Linked DNA regions of Arabidopsis thaliana. The protein of the gene in region 2 interacts with the protein of the main gene of each other region in a pairwise test. Each region holds a gene or a part of one and is shown on either strand. Other genes may lie near its edges.

Evidence for each region.
Region 1: the proteins of EIF3G1 (region 2) and AT1G63480 interact in a two-hybrid assay, tested with the Arabidopsis thaliana proteins (one large-scale study listed by BioGRID).

The regions. Positions count from the first base shown.
Region 1 is NC_003070.9:23,540,437-23,544,361, forward strand, and holds the start of AT1G63480 (AT hook motif DNA-binding family protein), read right to left. Parts: upstream 1,798-3,925; 5' UTR 1,250-1,797; coding exon 805-1,249; intron 398-804; coding exon 330-397; intron 245-329; coding exon 113-244; intron 31-112; coding exon 1-30. UniProt on the Arabidopsis thaliana protein: Transcription factor that specifically binds AT-rich DNA sequences related to the nuclear matrix attachment regions (MARs).
Region 2 is NC_003074.8:3,576,801-3,580,725, reverse strand, and holds EIF3G1 (eukaryotic translation initiation factor 3G1), read right to left. Parts: upstream 2,339-3,925; 5' UTR 2,191-2,338; coding exon 1,854-2,190; intron 1,566-1,853; coding exon 1,537-1,565; intron 1,476-1,536; coding exon 1,424-1,475; exon of another isoform or gene 1,417-1,423; intron 908-1,416; coding exon 360-907; 3' UTR 157-359; downstream 1-156. Other genes in the region: PRA1.A3 (prenylated RAB acceptor 1.A3), read right to left, coding at 2,961-3,064, 3,152-3,223, 3,318-3,406, 3,482-3,568.

The DNA.
Region 1 (3,925 bases), on a different chromosome or scaffold from region 2:
TCCACCAAAACTTATAATCTCAAAAGGTCCCTAAGAAACACAGAAAGAGGATTAAATAAGAAATCTTTTCAGGTTTTTCTTTTTCGATTAACTGAATGAACGACTTTGAAACCTCGTATGTTAAGTGACGATCGGTTGAACCGGGTTTGCACAGAGTGACTGAAGAAATGGTTCCAGTGCCTGACATTATACAAAGAGCCCGAGGTCTTTGTTGTGAAAATGACAAAACTTTCGCAGCAATGTCCTGCAAAGAAAAATAAAAGGAAATTGATACAATGAAAAGCTGCATAAATGATCATTAATATATAAAGGAGTTTTGGTCAGTTTACTTCTCCTGCTCCAATGCTGATCACATGAGGTGCAAAAGCAAGTCCAGCTGAAGTATTCATCCACTCACCTAAAGAAATTATCAGAGTCAAGAGTTTGCTATTACTTAAAGTTTGATTAATCACATTATGATGACCAATTACTTAAACATGAATGGATTAGTAAGATTACTCTTTCACAGCTTAAAAACCTAAATCAATAACTTAAATCAAGAAGTCGATTTCGTCCACATCTACTAATAACCAATTACTCCTCTCACCTAGCATTGTACCACACATAGATCCGTCAAACTAATAGCCAACAATCAATATTGAGTATCAGTAACGACAAAGTAACAAAACCTAACTTAACTATAGAATCATTCAAAGCTTCTAGCATCCATAAGATTCAAGCTCATGTCCTTCAAGACTAGCTAACAGAGCTAAAGCAAAAACTTAACTTGACAAAGTACACAGAATAGAAAACTCGAGATCTCACCAAGATTAGCCAAGCGTTGCTTCCTTCCAGTTCCAGGAGGTCGACCTCTGGCCCGTTTAGGTTCATTAGGATCAGACATTGGAGAAGAGTCCCTAGACTTATTACTAACCATCGGTTCTCCATACTTTCTTGGCCGTCCACGTTTCCTCTTAACCATCGGTTCCTCTGGTGGTGGCGGTGGCGGTGGCGGTTGCACATCAGCATCAGAAGCAGAGGAGACCACTCCCATGTGAATGGTGTGTCCAAAATCCGAGAAAGGAGGTCCTGGATTGTTAGCCTGAGGGTGATGAATGTTAGGGTTAGACATTGGCCTCAATCCCGTATGTGGCGGCGGCGCGTGAAGCCCACTCGCGACTTGGGAAGGTGCGAGATTAGTAAAGGCTCCTCTTTGAAGATAGTACTGAGAATGCGAGCCTGGAAATGCCATTGCTTCTCTTCCGTCCATGCATTAAAAACTCCAAAATTACAAGTCTTTAACAGAAATAAGAGATTTTTAAATTGATTAACAAAAAAAGGAAACAAATTTATCTAATCTAATACCCAGAAATCATAAACCCTAATTCCCAAAAGTAGTAAAGAGAACAACAATGGCGGTTTTAAAATTACCCAGTAATCAAAGTCGGGTTATTTATACTGTGAGCTCAAAATCCAATTTGTTCTTATGAACCCTAAAAAAAAAAAGCTAAAATCTGAGTTCACTTATAGAACTCGAAAAAGTACGATTGCAGATTTGAAATTAAGAAAACAGAGGAAAGTAGCTTCTCCTACTGTTACAGTCTTGCAGAGAAAAAAATCAAATCTCCCCCTAAGAGAAAAGCTAGATTTGATTGAGAGAAATCTAGGGTTTCTGAGAAGGAGAACACAATGTATATCAGAGGAGAGACAAAGGAAGAAGACAGATGAGACAATTCAGGGAGAAGAAGAGAAAAAGAGAGAGAGAGAGAGAGAGAGAGAGAGAGAGAGAGAGAGAGAGAGAGAGAGAGAGAGAGAGAGAGAGAGACTAACAGTTTAATGATTCTGATTTATACTTTTAATATTGTGAACTTTTGAATTGAGAGAGGTCTTTCTCTGAAAGTTAGAAGAAAACTAAAGAAGCTGAACGAGAGTGACGACCATTGTTTTTCGTATTTATATATCTCTTTAATTGATTTGTTATTTAATTTTGTGAAAGATAAATTCAATTGAGAGAAAGATTATTATGAAAGATTTAAGCATAGTTTGTTTAAGAATATTTGTTTAAGAATATTTAATGTATTAGTTTGTTTAAGAATATTTAATGTATTAGTTTGTTTAAGAATAGTTTATTTAAAGTATTAGTTTGTTTAAGAATATTTGTTTTTAATAAAAAGGATAGACTTTCTTTGATGATTATTACAAATCTAATATCTCGTTAGATCTTTGACTGAAACCGAAATTTATTAGTCATTGAGAGACAATTATGTGCTTTATTCTCATAAACATTGCTACCAATAAAGATTTAAAAAAAAAATCTTTTCTAACATATTCTAAAGAAAACAGTTGACATTTTAGATTATTATATCATGTAATATATTATTTCTTCTGTGACACACTTTTTCCGTTTTTATATGGAATCATGTTTAGTGGGTAAAATATGTATGCAAAATTTGAAGATAAATTCAATATATATATATGAAAAGTATAATAATGTTTCTAAAGAAACTAAAAAAATAAAGTGAAAATAAAAAGAGAAAAATGTACAAACCTTTTAAAATAATCAAAAATATATTATTCTTGCTAGAAAAAAGAAAAAACTACAACATGATTATTTCAATTTTGGAGCTATTTTAGTGGCTTTACAAACTTTCTACACCTCAACTAATCATGTCTATATATCTTCAATAGTTATCTGTAATTTTTTTTGGTCAACTGCTCTATAATATATTTATAATTTATTTTTAATTAGTATAGATAATTATAAGATTATTTCAAAATATATCTAAAAATTTTAGGTTTTCTTATAAATATATAATCTTGAAATTTCATTCAGTTACACTTTGACAAGAGGCAAGACTAGTATGAAATGACTTCATATCATCTTAATTCAAATTAAGATTTTAAAAGAACAAAAAAAATCAAATCTTGTTGTAAAAAGTTTGATCTTGATTAGAAATATCCAAATATGAGAGAGATGTGTTGTTGACTAAAGGATAGGAAAGAGAATGGGGACACACTTGAATCTCTTCTCTCTCACATGTCTAACTCACTTTGCTATTTCTTTCTTTGCTTCGGACAGTGAGCCCTCTCTCCTAACTTTATTTGTTTTCCATTTTTATATTCCCCTTTTTCTCTTTTACTTTTTATCTAAAATTCTTTTTTTTTATTTTCTTTTAAAAGTTTTGAAAGTGATTTATTAATATATATATATATATATATACGTACATATATTTTGTTTCCACCTAATTTGAAAGTTTGTATGATGCATTTAATATCCGGTGGCTAAAGTACCCGACCAAAAAATCCAAATAGTCAAAATTTGGTGCTAGATATAAATAAAAGTTTTCTAGAGATATATCATATATTATATATTTTGGGTTTAATTAGATTTGTTTTGCTACTCCATTATGAATAATCTTTACATTAATTTGTTTTGTTTAATGTCAACAATATTACATTTGCACACATTTGACTTTTGACAATAAAATAAAGAGTTTTGACTTTCCTTCTTTCACTTTTTGTTTTGCCAACTTTTTACCTAAAGTAATGTGACTTGTCTTTTTTTACTTAGAAATTTCATGATAGGAAAAATTTGAGGCCGACCATTACTGAACTTATACAATATTTTACTTGTTCTTCTTACATAAATAGCTATAAACATACACAAATCAGTCCATTTCATCTACATGTAACATTAATAACTTTAATAAATAAACAAGATATGGACAGTGTGAAATTCACAATAAATGTACTAGATAGATTTTCAAAAATGGAAGAAGAGTGTTGAAGGAAGCTTTCAGCTTGAGGATGGTGTCTCAAAAGGTACAATAAGGCTCTGTTTCTATGAAAGTCCCTTACTTATTACTTCACAACACATATACACACATTATGATACATACATATATAGAGAGATATGATTGTGGGTCTCTGAAACATGATGTCATCA
Region 2 (3,925 bases):
AATATACGTACTAACATTTGTTAATTAGTTATATTCTTCATTAATAAAGATTATTATTTTGATTGATATCTTAGAACGAAAAAGTAAAAGTCAAACAATATTTTTGTGAAACGGGGAATGTTAAACAAACATCACAAATAATTTTAGACATCAATGAAAAAAGTGTTGGAAAACTCTTACGTATCACACAAATCCATTTTTTAAAAAGCATGCCTTATGTATTAAAGAGAAATTGAACAAATTCTCATCTATTCATACAGAAACCAAACCAACAAACAAACTGGTCGATAAACAAAAATCCATAACAAGAAAGACGAGAATGAGAAGAGTTTTAAGGTCTCAACATCAGACATTTCTTTCTAGGTTGGTCTTGGAGTTGCCCATTCAACCCTGAGGATGAGGTTATCATAACCATAACCATTCAATTTGTTGATTGCTCTTTGAGCGTCTTCTCTGCTCACGAAATTGACGAAACCAAATCCTCTGCTCACTCCAGTTTTCTGATCAATGGCCACATAGACACGTGTGACAGCTCCAAACGGGTGGAACAGCTCCATCAAGTCAGGTTCACGGGTATCCTCGGACAGATTGGTTACACGCACAGAGTTCTCATCGTTCCTCCTCCTCATGTCTGAACCCACAGCGCTTCTGTCTGCACCTGCTCTCATGCTAGGCGGGACATACGCGGCCTTGCCAGTTCCAGGTGCAGCAGACATGGTAGATGATTCCCCTGTGGGTGGCTTGTCAATGAAGACATCGGTTGGTGCAGCTAGATCCTTGTATGGACATTTTGATGTCCAGTGATCTCCTTTCTTGTGGCATATCCTGCACACCATGAGAACTGCACCACCTTTACCCAGCTGAGACAAGCCATCTCCTGTTGCCTTTGATTCATCCGCTTTGGTACCTGAAGTATCACACACCGTTAAGATACACACAATTACACAAAGAATGAAAGATAGTTGTGAACCAATGGCCAACTCATAGTCAACTTTAAAATGATACAGTAATGCATAGCCACAGAATCAAACATAGCAACCTATGTCTGCACTATAAGCCACTGATTAACATCATCTTTGATGGCTATCTATACAACTAGTCATTCACCTATCAATAGATTGATCACGAAAGCCCTAGTAACATTATCAAGGAACTTAAACTTTGCCCGTTTACAAACCATTTGACATTGGTTCATTGAAACACAAGATCATGGTGACTCCTACATCAATCTAATTTTTTCATCAAGGTAATAACACAAAAGGAGACAACATGTCACAGGACAAAATTTTTAACAATCGAAACTAAAGCTTCCAAACATCAAATGGGAGACAACATGTCACAGGAGAAAAGCTTTAACAATCGAAACTAAAGCTTCCTAACATCAAGTAGGAGACCAATGAAAAGCTGCAACATCTATGTGTACAGTTAGCAGCCACAAAAGTGAGAGCACATTTCAGCTCGTACTCAGGAATGGACTACAAACAATAAACTGCTATCGGTGACATACTGACCAATCACACAAACAAGTAGCCTCACGGCTAACATGTGATTCGCTAATTGGTCACCTTAACCCAATAGTATTAGACTAAACAATAAAACTAATGAATCAAACAATGAATTGGACAGCAATCCCAAGTTAGAACATATCACAAACAACATCTTTCTAGGTGAGTCTAGAAACTTATTCACACAATTAGCACAGCCATAAGACTGAACATTTTACCAACTCAATTAGATCAAAGTGCACAAATTTATAATTTTAACTCCAAATTCAATACGAACCAATAACCCCACGAATCTCAACAAACAAAAATCACCAGAATCATCATCATCATCAGAGGGAGAGAATTTACCAGGAGCTCGGGGTCGTTCGAGAAGGATCTCTTCGGTAGAAACCATAGTGAGATGGCTACCAGCTTCCTCATTGGCTGCGTCTCCGAACTTAGGCCAGTTCCTCCTCTCCATGGCTCGTTTGTTGAGTCGAGCAGAAGCTAGCTTGCGGACACGTGTCCTAGTCGTTATCTTAACCTTATTTTCTTCATCGTTGAATTTGTACTCGATCGTCGTCTTCAAACCATTCTCATCTGGACCAATCACCTGCTTGGGAGGGAGCAAGAAATCCAGATCTTCGTCTTCGTCCATTTCCCCCCATCTGAATTTGCTCGTTTTTTGCTGCGAATCGATCGTCATCGTCACTCGTTTGGGATTCAGATGCGCCGCTTTTGCTTCGATCGTAACCTAAAACTGAAGAAGAAGACGAAGAAGAAGAAGCACTTTTAGGGTTTCCTATCTTATCTGTGTGTGCTCCGTAACCGGAACGCACCGTTTTGATTCCTTCAGAATTTTACTTGGTCCAGTAGCAATTTTAATGTGAAGAAATTCAATTTTTAAAATTCTAATATCTACAAAAAGCTGTGTCCAGGCCCGCTCCACTAAGCCTCTTACCCTCTTCTAGGAATTAATTTAGACTCTCTTATGTTTTTTGGGCTTTTCGTTATAACACTTATTTACAGGATTGATTCTTCTTTTAAAAGAACTACTGATTCCACAAGCGAAGCCCACATGTTTTGGCGTTTTGTCTACCAAAATTTTAAAACACAATTGATAAAGCACTGTACTGTTCTATCTCAAATCCAAAAACTATACGTAGAAAAAGCCAATGAAAGATTTTGTAAAACTGAATCACTTACACACTTTATAGACTGAAAGAGTATACAAAGAACCTTAAGAAAACAACACTATATTCTGCCTTGTAGTTCTAGTCAACTAACTAGAACAAAGAGCCGCATCTGTAACCAGACCAGTGGCCTTATAATTTACTAGCTTACTACTGGAAGACAAGAATAACTGCGATTGTTTGTGCACATGATGAAGGAATTGGAGTTCATGTCTTTCCTCGAAACCCCTGTGATGTCCCGGGTTGGTTTGCAATAAGATCGAATCAATGCTTTATGTTGACTTTAAAGTTCGCTGTAGTTACGCCAGACAGCCCTGAATTCTTCACGGAATGTGTTCAAGCGGGCCTTGAGGTTTGGAGTTCTCAGGCTTGCATGAAGAAGTATCACTAAGGGAGAGAGAAAAATTACAAGTCAAAAGGATGGAAACTGGACCCAAAAAAACAGAGAAAGAGATGAAAGCAAGGATAGCTTACTGAGAAGGGCAGTGGTAAGTGCATAGAGGACCCATAACAAACCACATGAAGTAAACCACAGGACAAAACTGGCTACATAAGGAAAATCATATATTTTGCATCAGTTCACAGAGAAGTTGCATACCAATAGGTGAGAGAGATTATATGATAAAGAGATAATAAGTACCGGTTAAGCCAAGTAAGACGAATACCAAACGTGGTTGGCCACAAATGTAGACTGTCTTTCTAGTTGCAGATCGCCCACGAATGACAGGCCTGCAAGGTGTTCACTCAAGTAGTAAATAACAAAAACCATCTGTAACTCTTCCATGGGAATAAAAAATTACTCACATGTGGGGAGGCCTCATCTTTGCAGCTAAATGTGGCGAGAAATGCCTAATGGTCCGGATCATCTTCTCATTAAAAGTAGCTGCAAAACTGCAAAAGACAAGAAAAACCTTAGCGCCATCAAATCAATGAGTAAAGTAAAAACCAACCATGCAAATCACTGAAAATAGAGAAACTTAAAACACTCAAGTTTTAAGAAACAACACCATTACATATTGAATTTCATACTAAGCACAGACACATCAAGGGTTTTACACTGACAATACTCATGATAGAGGAACCTTAAATCCCTCATGTTTACAGAATTAACGCCATAAACTATTGAATTTAGTACTACGCACAGACATTTTAAGGGCTAATCATTGAAAATAGAGAACTTTGCAACACTCGAGTTTTATATACCATCAAGAGAACCTTATTGAATCTAAACGCTAAGCACAGACACTT